Arabidopsis thaliana: one gene and its partner. The main gene of each other region encodes a partner of the protein of the gene in region 2 in a complex. Each region holds a gene or a part of one and is shown on either strand. Other genes may lie near its edges.

What was found.
Region 1: CSN6B (region 2) and COP9 share a complex: the UniProt entries of both Arabidopsis thaliana proteins name them as parts of the CSN complex.

What each region holds. Positions count from the first base shown.
Region 1 is NC_003075.7:8,129,806-8,140,067, forward strand, and holds COP9 (COP9 signalosome, subunit CSN8), read right to left. Parts: upstream 5,184-10,262; 5' UTR 5,063-5,183; coding exon 4,979-5,062; intron 4,871-4,978; coding exon 4,791-4,870; intron 4,417-4,790; coding exon 4,235-4,416; intron 3,727-4,234; coding exon 3,619-3,726; intron 3,384-3,618; coding exon 3,244-3,383; 3' UTR 3,075-3,243; downstream 1-3,074. Other genes in the region: AT4G14120 (uncharacterized protein), read left to right, coding at 5,380-5,746, 5,885-6,093, 6,194-6,442, 6,532-6,625, 6,820-7,007; XTH15 (xyloglucan endotransglucosylase/hydrolase 15), read right to left, coding at 7,356-7,755, 7,834-8,027, 8,116-8,391. UniProt on the Arabidopsis thaliana protein: Component of the COP9 signalosome complex (CSN), a complex involved in various cellular and developmental processes such as photomorphogenesis and auxin and jasmonate responses.
Region 2 is NC_003075.7:13,353,072-13,362,720, forward strand, and holds CSN6B (COP9 signalosome subunit 6B), read left to right. Parts: upstream 1-1,920; 5' UTR 1,921-2,157; coding exon 2,158-2,455; intron 2,456-2,535; coding exon 2,536-2,624; intron 2,625-2,711; coding exon 2,712-2,805; intron 2,806-2,900; coding exon 2,901-2,962; intron 2,963-3,052; coding exon 3,053-3,131; intron 3,132-3,222; coding exon 3,223-3,315; intron 3,316-3,505; coding exon 3,506-3,606; intron 3,607-3,735; coding exon 3,736-3,791; intron 3,792-4,173; coding exon 4,174-4,255; 3' UTR 4,256-4,524; downstream 4,525-9,649. Other genes in the region: WRKY34 (WRKY DNA-binding protein 34), read right to left, coding at 4,525-5,056, 5,133-5,291, 5,379-6,076, 6,162-6,479; AT4G26450 (uncharacterized protein), read left to right, coding at 9,485-9,649. UniProt on the Arabidopsis thaliana protein: Component of the COP9 signalosome complex (CSN), a complex involved in various cellular and developmental processes such as photomorphogenesis and auxin and jasmonate responses.

The DNA of each region.
Region 1 (10,262 bases), 5.2 Mb from region 2:
TATATCCTCACCAAAAAAAAAATAAATTATATATGAATTAGAAAATAAACACAACATAAAACATAAAAAAATTTATAAAATTAGATGTAAAATTATAAAATTATTCAATGTAGTTATGTCTATAATGCTCCCATATATGCTCAATGTAATATTATTGTTGTATAAATTTGTTTTTAAATGTTATGTTTTTTATATTTGAATTTATATGAATATACTTGTAAAAATTAAATGTAATAGAATTATTTAAAAAAAAAATAAGTATGAGGACTAAAATGAAATTTTGAAAAGATTTTGAGGGTGTGAGTAGTGCACACTCAAATTTGAAGGTACACTATTCACACCCACAAAAAATAAGGGTTTGTTGGAGTTCAAAAAGTCCTCAAATTTAAAGATGTCAAACCTTCAAAATAAGGGTTTGATGGTCACTTACTCCAATAACACACCCTCAATATTGACAATCATTTGTTCTAATGATAAAACTTCATAAAAAAATTTAAAACATACATTTCAAAAAAATAATGTCAAACAATATTAGAGAAACAAAACTTTACATGTTACTACAAAATTATATATAAATTAAAAAAGAAACATAAAATAAAACTCGTGTATTTCATGTATAATTTTATTATTGAAATGATAATGTTAATGTGTGTTAAATTGCTCAATGTAATATCATTGTTGTATAAACTTTGTTTTGAAATATAATATATTTTATATTTTAATAATTTTAATTTTAATTTTAATGTATTTTAATTATATGGATATATTTAATATAATTGAATTGAATATAGGGTAATATTAGTAGATAACCAAATAAAACATACAAATTAAGAAACTAGCAGAGAGAAAGTTTTTTGTTACAAAATAACCATGGACCCACGTTGTCGGAAAAAAGGAAATAACAAAGCTACCCTTCATTTGTTGTAAGATGAACAGTAAACGAAACACATCCGTGTAATTTTTCAAAATAGCATGTAACATTAAAATTTCACATGTTATATTTAGTTTAAAAACATGCTATTTCAAAAAACGTTATGAATTTTTAAGAAAAAACATTATTATGAAATTCTTTTACATGAACAGAATCTTAAAAAATAAAAATTATATGTGATTTTAATAAAAACCATGTATTACTAAAAAATAAGAATATATTTTTAAAGAAATCACGTGTGATCTTAATAAAAAACGTGTATTACTACAAAATATCATGATAAAAAGAGATATTAAACTGAATAGAATGTTTTTTCCAAAAAATATCATGTGTTTTTTACAAATACTATGTAATAAGAGAAAATAACAAGATAAAAAGAGGATATTATGTTATCGCCTGTATTTCGGAAAAATAACATGTTACAAAGGACATTTACGTAATTACACGTGTTCTCCAACATGTTTCCGAGAAGATACTGTGACTCAAGGTTAGTTTGTACATTCTTTTCAAATCTATAGTCATTTATTATAAATACTCTTGAATATAACTATCTATAAAATATATAAATTATAAGGACGAAAATGAAATAGAAAATTTTTTTGAGGGTGTGACCTTTAAAAAATAAGGGTTTGAGGGTTTATTGGAGTTCAAAAAACCTTCAAATTTGAGGGTTTAAGTGTTTGTTGGAGATACTCTTAGTCTCTAGTGGTGGACTCAAAAAACGGGAATCCATATATTTTATATCAACAAAAGATAAAAAAAAAAAATACAGATTCACACATTACATAGACAGTAAAACAGATATATTATATAAAAACTCATAAACAAACATATTTGCAGATTTAAAATGAAATTTTGAACGACCTGAAGAAGCTTCATGGCCAGTGTTTCAGTTTTTTTTCATCAGAAGAGTTTTCAAGGTTTCAACCAGAGAATCAACCCTCAAATCTGGGATGGTGCCTGAAGAATCGTCATCACTAGAGTCTGAAAACTGCGACATGTGCTCTCGCCGAATTAGAGACCTACGAATGTCGCCAAAACCCTAGAAACCCACAAATGTCGCCAAAACCCTAGACTTTTAGTTTATGGCTTTCTTTTTAGCTTGTTTTTGGGCTTTTTATGGAGAAGTTTGTTTTTCTTTCAACCAAAATGCATGTCATTTGATTTTATATAATTGATTTTCAATTTGACATGTTCACTTTTTTAAAACAGACATTTTAGAGTTTCTTAAACTTGAATTTGTTACTATTATATTCAATTACAAATGATTTGGGACCAACAAGTCTTCCTTCTCAGTCTTTAGATTGGTGGGAAAATCTAAACTGAGAGGTGAGATTTTTTTCACTCGCGCAGAGGATGCATGTATCTTCTTCTTCACAAGTCACAAAGCGTAAATGATTTTAACAAAAGGATCAGTCTTGAGAAATGAGACTATCTAGGCTTTAGGTTTTTGATATAACAGAGTAAAATATGAACAAAAAACACACGGGATAGGGAATATGAACAAATTATCGATTCACCAAAACCTATCGTAAACATAAAAGATTAATACAAATTTATGTTTACATTTGAGTATTTCTAACTATTACTCCTACTAATATTTGTTTTTTAAAATTTGTATTAATCTTTTGAAGAGTTTATTTCTAATATTTCTACAGTATCAATTTTTTTTTCTTTTTGTTTTCTAGACTTAATAATTATTTACTTTTTATATTTTTCATTATTTTTAAAAGGATGTTGATTATAACTACAAAAACTGCTTTTCACATAAACCAGTTTTAAAAATTATAAAAGAATAGTAAAATCTCTCAATAAATTTAAAATTGTTCATTTATCGATAATTTAATAATAAATTAAGAATTATTAATCTCTGATAACCCCAGCTTGTCATCTACTAGATCGACAAATGGCTCCTATTCTTCTAGAGTACCTCTCCGGTTTGAAGATTATCATCTTTTATCTCAGAGATTGGCTAGCTTGTTATAGTCGCTAAAATGATCTTCTCTTGTTTCTGCCTAATTTTGTTCTGAAAACGTGTGTTATTTAGGCTGTGTCCTTTTTGGCTCATAATATTGACTTCATCTTTTGTTTGTTTCAGTTCGTCTTTTGTGTAAACTGATCTTTTAAATGTTTGTTTTAGTTCGCCTGTTGGTGTAAACTGATCTTATAAGAGTAAAATTGGTAGGAGTTATTCATCATATACTCAAAGAGTCAAGATATGTTGCAACTTAGAATCAGTCATTGTGAAATCTCTCAAAAACGAATTCTGTTCTTAGAATTTCACTATCTTAATAGGAGATCGGCACTTAGTTTTAATGTTCAAGGTGGAACACATACTCCGTCAAGCGTTGTAGCTTCGATGAATCCACCTTTTGCTCTCTTTTAACAGCTTGTTTCTTCACACTCGCCATTTGAGAAGCTGCATCCACTGTCCATCCATTCTCTACAACATCTGTGTATATATCCAGCAATAAAGAAAACAATTATACTGTTAATTCTGATTCCGTAACATATATGGTTGTCATAAGATTCATGCCTACAATAACACTAAGCTAAGACATTGCCACAAACTCTTCGACATTTTTCAAAAGTATCAATATAAGAATCAATTCAGTAGAATTCAATAGAAATGTGAAATGAGGTACTTAATCTTTTGTAAGCAAAGGAAATTGCAGAAAGAAGCTTACAAGTTGTGGCATCATCCTCCGTCATCCCTAGGAAAAGAGCTAAATCATGGATGGTAATTGTGGAGTAGGCAGACAACAAAAGCTGAAACATCCTTTTTGTGTAAAGATCTACAACAAAACCAATTCAGAAATAGAATTAGAATCTGATGGAAAGTGACCCATAAAGGTCAGGTGTTGAACAATTGATGTGGAAAAAGGTACAACTTCACAAAATTCAGATCAACGTTTAGACATTTGGTTGGAAAAGTCTGTCAACTGCTTACTCGTTCCTCCTGTGTGAGTCTACCTACCTCTCTCTCAGTTAGACCACAGAAGCAACTACTTTCTAATGAAGAAGTGATAAGGCACATACATTGATGAAATTTGATTCAAATTCGAGTTCCAATAGTTCAATGATAAGATGAAAGGTGGTTCTGTGCATAACAGAAATCCTAAACTAGGCCTCACAAGTTAAAACAATAAAACAACTATTCGATCTCAATATGTATATCAAAGCTCAAAACCTAAAGAGGGATATGAAGTAATAAAAGTACACAACTACATAAGCAATCAACAAGCTTAGTTCAAGAAACCAATTCATACTAGCTAAGAAGTCATAAACAGAGAAAAAATTTACCTGAGAAGGCAGCAACCATATCTTTAGCTTCTTGACTCCAATCATAACCCCGAATAGCTTCATATACACCTGCATAGTCGTGTGTCCACAGCTTCTGACCAATCCCCCAAGCTGCAACAACTTCAGGCTTCCTCTCCTTGATAGCTGTAGGTATCCTTTTCCAGAGGAAACGTGCGCTATCACTGCAGTATTTCCAAACAAGCACAGCAAAACATCAAAACCAAATCCATAGTCAAGAAGGCACAACCATAACTCAATAGTTTCAACATACTACACTCACTATCAATACACAAAGGAAAAAAATGTTAAATGGGTCTCAACAACTACTAACTTGTGTCAAGTTTTAATTTTTCAAATCACTGGATAGAAACAAGGTAATGTAAAAAGCAGACTTTAGACCTTAGATTCAACCTAGGACCTAGCAATCGAAGTAGTAAGAACAACTTTGACGCGCTAAAATTCACAAGAGTTCAACGAAACAATCTCTAATTTCATAAAGGAACTAACTTTAGGTTCACAACGCAAACAAATACATCAAAGAAGAAAATAAACTCACCAATCGTCAACGTAAAAGTAACCCAGAAGATGGATTGCGTAAGGCCAATCATCATGATATTCAATTCCTTCGGAAGCAACCTATAAAAAAAATTAAGAAGCGATAAATCGAACGATTAACACCACAAAATCCACTTCACAAAACCCTAATGAACATCAGAAACAACGACAGCGAGAGAAATTACGAACCTGAAGCATGAGAGTATCGCAGATATCGGCGATTTTGTCAAAGGATTTGGCGGCCAAAGCTTCCTTAACAGGCGAAAGATCCATGACTTGTTTCGATTGCACTACTCTCGAAGCTTTTGCGAAGATGACAATTCTACTCCCAAAACCACTCCAGGGAAAAGAAAAATAAATTCTGTGAGATTTACAGGTTTTAATAATCTTTTCAATACGGTTTACTTAAACCGACCAAAAAATTGACCAAACACAAGAGGATAAATGGGCCAAGCCCACTAAGCCTTAGTTTCCCGCCAAACATCATAAAGCCACCCGGTCTGTTCCCGCCAAAATAACAAACAGTCTCTCTCACTCTCACACACACTCTCTCTCTCTCTCTGTAGCTCTCTCTTGGCGCGAGTTCTACCATGGCCGAATCAGATCCTATATTGAGGAAGAAGATGCGATTTTCGTCTTCTTCAGTTCGTTATACTACCTCTCAGAACCTTATGGCAAGCAAATTACGAACTCAGAGCAATCGTTCCTCCGTTCGATTTGCATCCCCATTGTCTCACATTGTCACGGATCTTCGTCACCATCATGCGTCACCGATCAAAGGGAAAATTGTTACTCAAATGCCCCGAACTTGTTCTCGTGTCACCGTGAAGAATCTGTGTCTCAGACGCGTATTCTCTCCTAGTTCCATCTCTAGTGATTGGGACTTTCATGTGAAAGGGGGAAATCTAACCAAGGAGCTAAATGTGGAATCTCCTTGCGATACTCCGAATTCTAATGGTAATTCTTATTTTAAGGTCTTTTTCTTGTACAAGTTTTTCTAAGAAAATTTAGGAGAATGTTGATATAATGAAGGTGGAATTAGGAAATTTCAATATCTGTTTAGAAACTATAATGATTACACAATGGTGAAAACAGTTATGAGAGAAGGAAGCAAATATCTTGTTGATGGATTAGTGGCTACTGGAGGTGATTTAGAAGTAGTGGAATGCTCACAAACGACGCCACCGGATTTAGGAATGTTCACCGGTGAGCTTTCTTTGGTGAAAAATGAAGCAGGTTCTATCAATCAAGAGATCAGTGAGGTCTCTGGGAAGAAAGTTGGTACCAATCTCGGCAGCAAAGTGGTATGTTTTTTACTCATGGTTTTATAGCAAATGATGCGTTTAAACTACAATATTGGCTTTTCGTTGGTTGCTTAATTTTCTTCTTGTGATATGTATACAGATTCGTCATCCGGAAAAGATTTTCAAGAACCCTGGCTCTGTGAGCTATAGAAGAATGCTTCCTTACTTGATGGAAGCTGCAGATGTTACCCGAGATGGTGATGCAAAAGATCCTAAGGATGAAAGAGGTGAATTGATGGCAGCAAATTACCGACTTCCTGAAACCGTATCTGCCAATAGCTTTGTTAAAGCTCATGGAAACAATAGCCCTTTCAAGAAGATGACTTCATCCAGTGGCAACAAAATTTCTGTATGATCTGTTTTTTTTTAAGAAGCTGCAGTCTTGTTCCTTATTTAAGAATCTGTTTTTGACATTTTCCCTGTTGTGACATGAAACAGCTGTGCTGCCGGCGCAAGCTATTTAAAGTGCCAGGTTCTGTAAATTACAGAAGAATGCTTTCATATCTCAAAGAGAACTCAGAGGATAATCATGGTTAGTCTCTTTATATTCATGTTTAGCACACGGTATAATTCAATGTCAGTACTAGTCAGATAATAATACTGTCTTCTGTGGCTTGGTAAATTGTAAGATAGTATAAATGCATGATATTAGCTTGTATTGAAATTATAAAGTCAGAATTGGTAGCCTTAGAAATTGATGTCTCTTTTCTTTCATTGTTCTTCTAGGAACTCCTGAAACCACGCATACAGATCCTCAGAAGAATATAGAGGAGAATGCTTCAGCTATTGAGGCTAAAGGGGCATCAAATGAAGTTACAGATTTAGATACATGCTCTAACAACGTTGAGACGCCACTAGCTGATCCAAAGAATGAGCAAGAAACTCAACTTTTGTTAGCTGAGTTTAGCTGTTAGTGTTAATCAGTTAGTAACAAAGTCATGTATATAGGGTTTAAGCGTATTTGACTTGTTTACACAGAGCTTGTTCATCTAGGTACTTGTAGTTGTAGGTCAAAGAACTGAAACGAAAACATTAGAGGTACCTATGCATTAGACTTGTTGATTCTTATGTCTCCATATTTTTCTGATTGTCCTTTATTGGTAAGTGAAAGACAATAGTAGTCTCTTTAAAGGTTTAATTTCAGTTGTTTTATATTTTGAAACCAGGAATGCTTTATTGATCTTGACAATGTACAATGGAATAACAGAGGAATTTAAGAATTGCATCAAACAAGCAGAGAAATATGAGGTAATATGTGTTCATCAGACTCTGGACTTCTTGCATTCTGGAGGGAATCCACGAGGGAACCTTTTGAGATCAGAGCAATAATTATAGATCATGAAGTATTTCTGAACCCATCTGAGTCTCCTCCTGCCATAAGCATTGAGCTCGGTTGCCACTTGCAATTTACCATCACCAAAAGAACTCTTGAATTTAGGGTCACATCCTGAAGAGGCTGTGCAAGCCGCAGCGTTGAATCCTCTGTAGTAAGCTGTGAAAGGAGCCTTGGACCAGTCAGTCTTGACTAGACCACCTCTCGTGGCCCAATCGTCTGCATTCCACAGGCTAGAGTAGATCCTCATGGGTTGACTCTTTGGGAAAGGAACGCCGAGCTTCTCTGCATTGTTGAACACTCTAATGGGTAAATTGTCCACCAAGAATCTGCAGAGACAAGAACAAGAGAGTCAAGATCTACGTCTTTCACTTATTGTTAGAGAAAATAGATCGATGGATGTTTACATGATGTGTTGGGGTCTCCAGACAATGGAGTAAGTGTGGAAGTTCTTGGTTGGGTCGAACCAGAGATAAAACTGTTGCTCTCTGTCTCCTTTCCCTTGAGCAAAGACATTGGTGTGAAGAACATAAGGCTTCCCTGTCTCGTTACCTAGAAACTCAAAGTCTATCTCGTCATGTGTTGCTCCTTGTGAAGACAACTGCAAACATGTACGTTCAAACAAATTTAGAAAAGAGTCTCTTCAGTTTTAGCAACATTATGAGTGAGTGTGAGTTTGAAAACGCTACGTAGTAAGCAGTGACGGTGCCGGCCGAGTTTCCGGCGACAAGTTTGAGCTGCATATCGATCCGACCGAACAAATACTCTTTTTTGGATTTGAAACCTGACCCGGAAACCTGGTCCAGCGACAAAGACAGCATATTTCCTCCGTTGAAGATTTTGCCTCTGTGGTCACCCCAAGTGAGGTCAAACTCGTCGAAGAAGTTGCTTGCGTAGGCCGAACCGAACAATGTCACAAGAAGAACAGTCGCCACGATGGTGGTGAGGCTCGAACTTGGACCCATTTGGGTTTGGTTGATAGAAATGAAAGTTGTGGGGGTGAGTTTGGAAACTAAAAGAAGATGAGAGCTTTGTGTTTTGGTGTGAGATGAGTTTTAAGAAGGAGATATGCATATATATAGGTGGAGAAGCATTGGGAAGCTAAGACCAACTCCAGCAGTAGTTTCTTAGTAGAAACTCATACAATTTTAAAAAATAAAAATATTGAAAAGTTAAGAAACAGATGAGAGAAAATCTCTAAAATTCCTAATATTAGGATCGTTTCTATTACTCATATAAGTTGGTTTTTTGGATGTAAAAGTAAAATATTAATACATTTTGTTTTCTTAGAAACTACATGAATCCTATACAATGGAGTTGCTCTAACTTAACCAGATTGTGTTTTGACATTTATTTGCTCATTTTCAATAGTAAATAGCTCATAATAATTGCATCTTATTGCATTATTGAGAAACTCATCATTAGTATTTCCTTTATTCTCATGATCAGGCCTATTTTAATATGGATGGAATTTTGAAACAAAATAGAAAAAAGAAAAGAGAAAATGAAAGCTGTCCAAAAGAAAGAGAACAAAAAAAGAGTGTGTGAGCTGAGAACACTGAGTACTGAGTTCGTAATCACTCAGTCGATAGCTGTTGCCAGCTCTTCTGCTACACCCATCATACCTCGAGCCTCCTTTTTTATTTTGTTATAGGCTTTTAAATTTTTCTTCTTTTAATAAAATTTTAATCTACATTGAAATGATCAAATTATTTAACTCACTATAGTATTGTTTTTAGAGTGAGGATAGAAAAGCTAATAATACATCATTCCATGAATTTGATCGCATCCTCCTACATAGTGATTAAACAAATTTTTTTGTACAAAAGCTATATCTTTTCTTTTTACATTAATATTAAAATATATTAAAGAAACCTGAAAACGTTTTTACAAGAACTTGAAACTTAGGATTTGACATCCCCAAGATGCAAACCACAACCAATAAATCAACATTGTAGCGTCGACCACACCATTCTCTCTTATGGATGAAATCCTATTTCGAATAATCTTGTAGCTTTGTAACAAATCATTTGGAAATTGTAATGGAACTAGAAAACTATTCTATGTAATATACAAGGATCGTCTATTGAAACCAATCAAATCCATATTGTTCTGTATATAATAATAGTTTGCAGGACAAAAACGAGAAATCATAAAGGGTTACTAATATTTATGATTGGAGAACTTCCCCATGCTTTTCAAGTTTAGTATAGTTTATCAAAAAGATTTAGTAAATTTTCTGTTTTTTTAGTCTCATATAGGTTATATTCTTAAATAGACTATTCGGCCTTTTTTTTTGGGCAAATTGACAAACGTTTGTAAACTAGGTTTCTCCTCTGTGGATCAGTTATCCGTAATTGAATTTGCTTAACAAAACAATTAGTAAGAATCACTATAACATTAAATTAGATTTTATTTTATTTTCCTAAAGTTATAGGAACATTTCTCAACCTAATTTTAAGATTTCAGGATTTTGATAATATTAATGAAAAAAACTTAGAGAAAGTATTACACTCTGGAAACTTTTTAAAAGTAATCACATAAGTTACCTTTTTGTTTTTTTAAGGAGGCCACACCAGTTTATTATATTAGCTAGCTTTCCCACTTTTCTATCGTTTATGGTGTGGCATAGTTAAACTATTAATTACCGAAATAATTAGGAGAAAACGACAAGGTAACCCATATACTATTTTGTAACAATTTAAAAGATCAATAATGCTCGTTTTTGTTTCTAGTATTGGAAATGAGAAAGTGGACGACATGAAAAAGAAAAAACAAAAGCAAGAATGGGAGTGAGACAAGCTGGCATGGAAATGGCCACTCTTCTCCCTTTGTA
Region 2 (9,649 bases):
ACTTTAAGCAACAGCAGAAAGCATTAAAGAATAGATAACCCCAATTTCCGAGAGGAACGTTAGGAGAAAGTTTTTGAAAATTTACAAAACTTTCTGTTAGTAGATGCTTAATTTCATCAGTGTTTTCCAAGCAATTTTGAATTAAGGATTAATAAAATTGTTATGTATATTATGAAATAATGAAGATATTTCGCTATCTCTAGAGTCTAAAGAGATTAGCAGTTGGTGCCTTGGTGGTTGACAAAAGAAAAGAAGAAGAGATTAGCAGTTGCGTTTAACATTGGTTTTATCTAGAAAGATGAACTGATGGTTACATATAAAACTAGTCGTTGTCTGTCAGTGTCCACTAAAGACTATTTTCTTCTTTTGATATACATTTCTAAATATACAACAATATCATTTCTCCGAGGTTTGTGAATTGTTTAGGTATAAAATAGTTTTCTACAATAACTTTTGCTATCGGGTGCAAAGACATTCTACCATAGAACGAGTTTAGTATAGTGTCATTTCGTAGATTCTTTATTCGGATTGGTTTTTCAATATCAACAAAATTCTGGTTCATTTTCTTCCCTCCTATAAACGAAGGTAAAAAGAATGAAGAAAAAAGAAAAGAAAGAATATTTTGTTAATGCATTATCTAACGTGTTAATGTGTCACTTTCATTTTTCTTAATCGTTTGTTGAAAACTTTTTGCAGTTGATTTCAGGAAAACGGAACACACATATATATATATATATGTCTTTTATTTTCAATACGGACCAAATCCATCATTTGCTAATCAGTGAGAAAACTAAATCGTGGTCTACTAGTTTATATAAATTGAAAAAAGAATCATAAATAATATGTCACATATCCAACCTAAAGATTTATGTCTATACATGTAAAAATGTAAATGAGCATATTCCCAAATTTCCCACAAGTATATAGCACTACCTACACTCACGCTTCTTCAAAGTGAAGGCGATGGTGGAAAAAAGCGTAGACGATGACTTGATAAGATTGACTGAAGAAAAGAAAAAAAGTTATCATAAGTCAAAAAGCATGTCGTTAGAGTTTGACGAGATCCCATGCATGATTATATTGTCGGATACAATTGTTTGAACAATACGGTTGGAAAAATCTACCGTAATATGAAGACTTGAATGACATAACTAAAGATTGTACCTTGCAAGCCAGCAATGTGTTAATGATATGAGTAAGGGTGCAGAGGCTGCGGCTGGTGGCTACTGGCTAGTGATAAGCAATTTACGATGTAATGACAGATATATCATAGGAGACTAGGAGTTATATATGGTATATATAGAATCTAAAATAACATATTTATCAATTTACTATATTAAGTTTTATGGTTCCAAACTCAAAACTAATTGTTTATGAGTAGATTTGGTTTATATACTGTATATTACTCATATTCTATTTCCACTTTTAATGTGGGATTTCTCATAAACTATATACAGTTATATTTTTAATTAATGAAATAACAATAATACAGATTTAAATGTAGCCTTAACTATTTTTATGAAATTTAAATGAAATTTAATTTAAAAGATTGCATTCAGAATACAAAACTGTAATATTCTGTAAAATATTGATAGGTACTACTTACAACATAGGAAACATATTTAAAGATATGTTATATAAACTAAAAATAGTTTAAAATATCAATATATATATATATATATATATATATTACGAAAAGAAGAATTAAAACAGACTACACACATAATAAAATTTTAATAGTAACACTTACAAACATATCCAATAATATTAAATAAAATTAATTCATTATGATCTTTATGTTATTTCTATATACTCAAACCAAAAAAAAAGAAGTAAATGATTCAAAATCCAATCATAATTATTTTTCAAATTCATTAAAATACAAGAAATTTCATATTAAAAAAATAGATATTTCTTTCAAAGATTTATATTCAAATTATAAATATATACTAAAACGCTAAAAAATTAAGTACATGCTATAATCTTTTCCATTATTTTTCTAACAAAAGAAAGTTATATATGGGCTAAACTTAGAAGGAAAGCCCAAGAGGCCAAGACTATATAAAGATTCATGACCCGAGTTTAAGATCCGATTTCAGAATTTGGGACTAAAGGAGGACAACGACAAGCGCCGGGAAAAAATCGAGAGCGACAACAATGGCGCCTTCTTCGTCGAGCGGTCTCACGTTCAAGCTACATCCTCTGGTGATGCTTAACATATCCGATCACTTCACTAGGGTTAAAACTCAGCTTAATCCTCCCGCCGCTTCTTGCGCCACCGGGAATGGCTCCAACAACGCCGACGCGATGTTACTGCAAAACCCTAGGGTTTATGGCTGCGTCATCGGTCTCCAGAGAGGTCGTACGGTTGAGATCTTCAACAGTTTCGAGCTGATATTCGATCCTGCTCTTGATACTCTCGACAGATCCTTCCTCGAGAAGAAGCAAGAACTCTGTAAGTTTACTTACACTCGCTCACTTTTGTTGTCGATTGTTTGATACTCTTGCTAATTTGTGAGTTTTGTTATTTTTTAGATAAGAAGGTGTTCCCTGACTTCTACGTATTGGGATGGTATTCTACGGGAAGTGACGCTACCGAATCTGATATGCATATCCACAAAGCTGTGAGTAGTGTAGCTTTAATGTTTAATATAAATTTAATTGAATTTAGGATTCTCATTGTACTGATTTGTTGAGGTTTTCATCTACAGCTGATGGACATTAATGAATCTCCTGTGTATGTTCTTTTAAATCCTGCTATCAATCATGCACAGAAGGATCTTCCTGTGACTATCTACGAAAGCGGTAAAAATTGGTTATTTGCATCACTGATTGTCTTATTGTTTTATAGATTATAATCTTGCTAATCCTGTCTTTTTGATTGTTTTCAAAATTTGAAGAATTTCATGTCATTGATGGAATTCCTCAGTCGATTTTCGTGCATACCAGCTACACAATTGAGGTATGTGTTTAGGCCACTTGATCTGTAATCTATCTATGTGATATGAGAGTGGACTTTCAATAACATTGCAATGATTGTAAACGCGTGCAGACAGTTGAAGCTGAAAGAATATCTGTTGATCATGTTGCACATCTTAAGCCATCTGATGGAGGCTCAGCTGCGACTCAGTGTAAGCTTTATTATCACTTCATATTTATCATAATCTGTTCTTTCTTTTTCATCTGCATGGAATTTTAGGTTGATTCCTCGATTTTGTGCAGTGGCTGCTCATCTTACTGGAATACATAGTGCCATCAAGATGCTTAATAGCAGAATCAGAGTGCTATACCAGCATATTGTCGCTATGCAGAAAGGTATATTCTTGCTCAAGTCCCCACTCTCGGTCCCTCTTCAATTTGTTAATCAAGCTTTTGTGACCTGTCCCTTGATCTTAGAATATTTCTATGTGTTTTCCTACGGGGAAGAAAGAATTAAAAGGGTGTTAGAAGATGATTTTGAGCAAGAGTAATGTGGTACTAATGACTTATGTGATTCTGCATCTAGGTGATAAACCTTGTGAGAACTCAGTTCTGAGACAAGTATCTAGTCTGCTCAGAAGTTTGCCTGCCGCAGAATCAGAGAAGTTCAATGAAAATTTCTTGATGGTAAGTAGTACCTTACCTTTTTCTAGCAATGTTGGTTAAATAAAGTGGCCTTCGAATCTCTTAAATTCTTAATGTAGCTTGTTGTTGTGAATGATATCTTTATAAATATGATGTTCTCTTCTTTTGCAGGAGTACAACGACAAATTGCTGATGTCTTACCTAGCAATGATCACGAATTGTACCAGGTATGTGCTCGACACGCTATTCCATTTAACTATTTGAATAAAAGAATGATGGACATGCATGCAAATCTTTTGCTTGATACAATGCAATGTTTTACGATACCAAGACAGATGAAATCACCAGTACTTGGTTGAGGCTGACATTGAGATAGTTTGTTTTATTTAGATTAAGAACTAAATCTAGGACCTTGCTCAATTATCCTTGTTATAATTAAGATACTGAGCCTGTAGTAGCTAAGGGAATATAAGCTTCTTTTTAAAAAAAAAATCTAATCTTGTGCTACACCTTGACCAATCCATATGTCAATTTCATTCCAACGAAATGTCCTGAAAGAATCCTTTGTATATTTGATCTCTTACTCTCCTTTTTCCCCCCAAAATGCAGCAACATGAACGAGGTGGTTGACAAATTCAACACTGCATACGACAAACACAGCCGAAGAGGTGGTAGGACTGCGTTCATGTAAAGATTAGTTTCAATGTAAAAAAACCTTTTCTTTCTTTTGGTGGTCTGGTCCCTAAGTGAAAATTTAGAACTCTTTTAAGGCATTTCACTTTTCGGAACCAAACAAACAGCTAGGAAGCTTTTCTTCTGTTTAAGCTTTGTCTAGACAGAAGCTAAGTTTAGGCCTAACTAAATTTTGCGACAAGACTGTAAAAACAAAACAGCTTTTACCTTCTCTCAATTTTTCATTTATTCAAAAATTTGAGCAATCAGTGAACAAAGAGATTTGTTTCATATCTGTCGTAATCTACTCAACATCTCTCTGCATATCAATGAGCTCGCTGACAAATCAAGTCCCTGTTGTGGTGACACTGGTTCCACCTTCGGCTGTGCTGCTAACTGCAACATTAGGCCAGTTGGATCCCCAATGTCAGGCGCCTGCAGGCTGGTAAGCTTCTCTTGCCCAATAGTTAGACCAGGCATTGAAAGATCAGAAAGCTCAGATTGGCCTATGTAAACGGAGAAACCTGTAGGATGCCTCAGGTGTGACTGGAAGTCAAATAGAGATGAGTTGGCTGTGGCCAGTCCCTCAGATCTACTGTGTGGCATTGGATAGTGCACATTGTGGTTGTGGGTCTGAGTCGCTAAACTGCCTTGGAGAGTCCCTGAACTGCCTGCACCGACGTGGCTGCTGTTGCGTGCTGCTGGTACAACGTGGGTGTGCTTGCCTATATAAGTTGTTAGTACGCTCTTGAAGTCATCAGAGGCTCTCTCTACATGCTTCGTTACGGTACATCCATTAGCTGTGCATTTATAGTAGCTCCTGAAAACATAGAAAACTGATTTTATTAAATTCAACAAAGGGATAGCAGCAGAACAGAGCATTTGGATACAAGAACCTTGGATTCGGGTTTCCTTTAACGACTTTTTGCCCATACTTGCGCCAGCGATAACCATCATCGAGGATGTCAATGTCACTTGTGGTCTGCACCACAACTCTTGGCTCACGGCTGGCTCTGGTTGATCCACTCGTTTCTGTTGCATAAGCTTCTAGTTTCCTGATACGGGAATGCCATCAGAGCTCAGAAGTCAGAACGTCTTGTCTTTCTAAGTATTATAATGGTTACTAGAGCAACTTTTTATACCTTCTCTTTGATTCGGACTCTTCTACCTCTCCATCGTAAGTCAGGGAAACACTCATGTGGGACGTGCGATCATCTTCGTTTTCATCTCTATATAAGGCATCAGCTGCTGCATCACCATACCCGAACTGATGAGTCCCGTTTTGAACCTGCATTGATCCTGAATGGCTTCCGTATTCGAGCTCTGCAGATACAGGTGATGTCCATTCTATGTTCTCATTGGTTCCAGCAAAACCTTCGTATTCGGTTGCATCTATTTGCATGTCTTGGCCAGTACCGGATGATCCAATCCCTGACCGGCGGTTAGGTGGAGGTTTGCTGTGTATATGATCTCCTGTGTATATGATCTCTATAATATGACCTTCCCGAGACCGTTCAACCTTCTTCTTGGCCTCACAATTCGGGTGCGTGCACTTGTAATAGCTCCGCGGATACTCACTTCCTTTAACTAGCTTTTGTCCATATTTTCTCCAGTTGTATCCATCATCTGCAGGTGCACAACAAGCCATCGAGTCTCCTAAACCGCCGAGCTGTCTTTCTTCATAGTCTTGGGAATCATCGGGTTCTAAAGCGATGTTAGTAGGATCAAGGCCACTTCCTGAAATGGTTTGGAAGGCTAAGGATGTGGTAATGTCGTCAAATAACTCAGCTTTAGCCTTATCAGAAGGTACTGATGAGAGCTTCCCGGTTGTTGGAGATAGCTGAGCTTACAAATGATAAGAGATTTTAGAGCACTGATTCACGAAAGAGAGAGACCATAATGAAATGTTGAAAAGAAAAAGTTACCAAAGGGTTTGAGAGGAAAACAGGAGACTCTAACAGAGTTGCAGGACTAAGACCAGGAGAAGAGATGGTTAAAGATTTCGACTGAAGAATATCCTCAGTGTTTAACCACGGTGCATTAAACCCGGATCTCGCAGCAATCCTTTCACGAAGAGCTCCTCGTGAACTTTCTTGAAAGGTGGTTTGCAAAGAATCCTCATTCTTGATGTAATTTAAAGAAAACTCTCTACCAAGTTCCGCTTTCGATCTCTTCCTGTGGTTAGTAGTACTACAGTCGAACCATTCTCCCATTACAGCAGCTTTATTATCAATACCAGCCATTGCAAACCCAAGTTTCAGCTTTAACTTGGGCTCAAGCTGAAACGTGATTAGGTGTTACATATATGACACAGAGCAGTTAACATGGAACTAAAATCTTAAAAAATTATTGTAATTAAAATGGAAACAGAGCAGTTTTTTTTATATGCAATAAGTCTTTTGATGGAGATACAAGAGTGATTAATACCTTATAACAATGAAGATAAAAGAGTGCTTAATACCTGATTTACTAATATACATGCAATAAGTGACACCCATCAGACTTTTTATTTCGCCGTTTAGACAGTAAGAGAGATCGAAACATCGAAACATGGACTTGTCTATGTCTCTCTGTTTTTATGGGTTGATCACACAAAATGATCAATATAATAAATCTTCTGTAGTAGAAATCTCTTGCTCTTGCTCTCTCTCTCTCTCGTTCTTGATTATCGTTTACCCTCAACACAATGAAAATGTATATCGGCAGAAAAACTACAAGAGATTTACACAGCTTGGTTAGATAAAATTTCTCCTTAACTCTCTAACAAACAAAAAAGTTTCAATTTGTTTTCTCCAATTGTGTTAATTAATCAGTTCCACAAAAATCACCAACAGTTTAACTATTTTTAGAAATAGAGTTTTGTGCAAAACAACCTTCAACTTTATAAACGTTTTCAAATTATTTTTTATTTTTATTTTTTTGGTAAAAGTAGACAGTGCTGTGCCCAATGACGTAAATGTTGAAGTTACAAAAATAGATGATTTTGAAGATATTTTTACACAAAACCCTTAGAAATATACATTATACTTTCTTTTCTCTAAACAGACACCTATAAGATATGAAATACCATTTATTTGTGTTTAGTCTTCTTATGTATATGGTAAGCTATATCTTTCATATAGTCTAATCAGTGCATGTCCATCAATAATACCATGCATGAGCCTTCCTCCAACTATTCACAACAGGAGCTGAATATTAAACTGGCAAATTGATGTTCTACCATATATACCTATTATATCACAACCAGCATAGTCTATAGTGGTTTTACTATAGCTAATGTAATTAGTACTAATTAAAGCTAGTTGTTAGAAAAACATGAGCAAAAAATCTAATTTGCAAACTATATTTAGTATATAAGTGATTAAGTTACAATAATCAATTAATAGAAATACTTTTTTCAATAATATTCCAACCACAGAAAAAACCAATTTCTATCATTTTGGCAGATAAACTTGGTTTCGCTAGTTTGTTAAACGAACTAGCAGTATAGCTTATTTGTTTTTGTTTATATATAGAAGAAACTCAAGCCAGTTGGGTTACCTATCTTGTTTATGAATTTTCGTTAATGTTTGCAATATTTCTGATTTTTTGTGAAAGACTAAATTGTAGAATTGTATCCACATTTTATTCTTTCCGTTCATGTCGTAGATTTTTAGTTTATGTTTCGGTCAACAAGTCGTGGAGTTAAAATATACTATACAATAAACTGAAAGTTCAAATGGAATGGGGTTCACCAACTTTTTAATTTACTTATTCTTGTGGTCACTTTCTTTCAAAATGTACTAAATAATTTTATATATTCTCATAATGTCTAAATATAAACAATAAATATGAATATGAAAATAAACATAAATATGAAAATAATTTTTCTTTTATAAAAGAATTAATAAACTAACGATAAGTGATTATAAAAAATATATGTCTTTGGAAACCAAACAAAATAGTTTAGGCTTCAATCCCATTAAATTCTCATCTAAAATTGATGCATGTAGCATGTAGATATGATCATGACAAAACGATGATTTACAAATTTTTATTTTTCATTTGTTCGTCATAAATATTTGATCGTTTATGATAATATTATTATTAGACATGACTGATTGTTATTGCACAAATAATTTACATTGTATATAGAATTTGCATCGCATTTTTATTTGCGTATCAATGGCTGACACTGAGATTTATGAGGCCACAAACAATTTCGGTTTTGGGGGCTTCATGATCTATATATAAATTTTTTTTACCGTTTGGGCCTCAAAAGCTATACATACTACTTGTTAAAATTTGGGATCCAACACCGATGTTCCACTAGGATATGATCAGTTACGGATTATTTATTGTAACTCTTGACAATATTGCACAAAAAATTTCTTGATTGTAAACATTCGGGTTGCAACGTCAGACCATCTCACTTTCTATCCTCAAAATAAAACATTTCCAACATGCCATTTTTAAAATTCTAATCTCATAAGCATGATATTATTTGGACATGAAGTGTATACAGTTATAGTGTACAAGCAGGAGAGTAGAAGTCACGCGTCTTACAGATGAACTTAGTGCTAGTTTACCAAAGAAGCTGACGTGGCGTTTTCATGCTTTCCGTCTTTGTGCTAATAATATATGGTAGAAAAAACTTTTGAGACGCAAATAAAAATGCGAAAACCCCAAAATCGTAATCAGCAGCGATCGAGATTTTCGCCGCTGAAATCTGGAGACTGATTATTACAAACTTGTTCGTCGTGTTCTTCATCGGAGAGACACTAGATCGGAAAATTTAACCTCGATTTGATTGCCGTTGCCGTAACATTTGACTGTTGTTTTGTGGTGGGGAATTCTAGGGTTCTTGTTTGATGAAGAAGAACTGAAGTGAAAATGACCATTAAAATCTCCCATGAGATGATTGTGTCCGTTCATTCTTCGAAATCGGACAACGGAATCGAATGATCGTCATATTCTGTAAGAGAGAAGGTTAGATCTTCACCGAATCTGGAACTCGAGATCCATCGTTTTGTTCGATTTTCTATTCTTTCGCACAAGGATTGGTCTGAGAAGAACAAGTTCAAGTTAGAAGCTGTTGTGTTCTGTCCGGTGAAACTTATTTGAGCTGCTGCAAAAACTTCAAAAGTTGTTACTTTTTCTGAAATAACTTAAGCTTCTTGGTATTTTGAGACTAAATGGTTTCACTACTCTTGTGAATTCCTGGAAATCAGAACTGTTATTAGTTTTTTTTGTATATTTAGGGACAAAGATGCATGCTAGGCAACGCAATGTTGGGAATGGGTACAGATCTGGTTCTATTGGGATGGGTATGTCTGGTTCTAGAATTTCTCCTGAGCGTCCTATGAGAGGACATGGGTTCTATGGTTCTGAACACCAACACCGTGGCTTTAACCGTGGATATGGACGTGGAAGG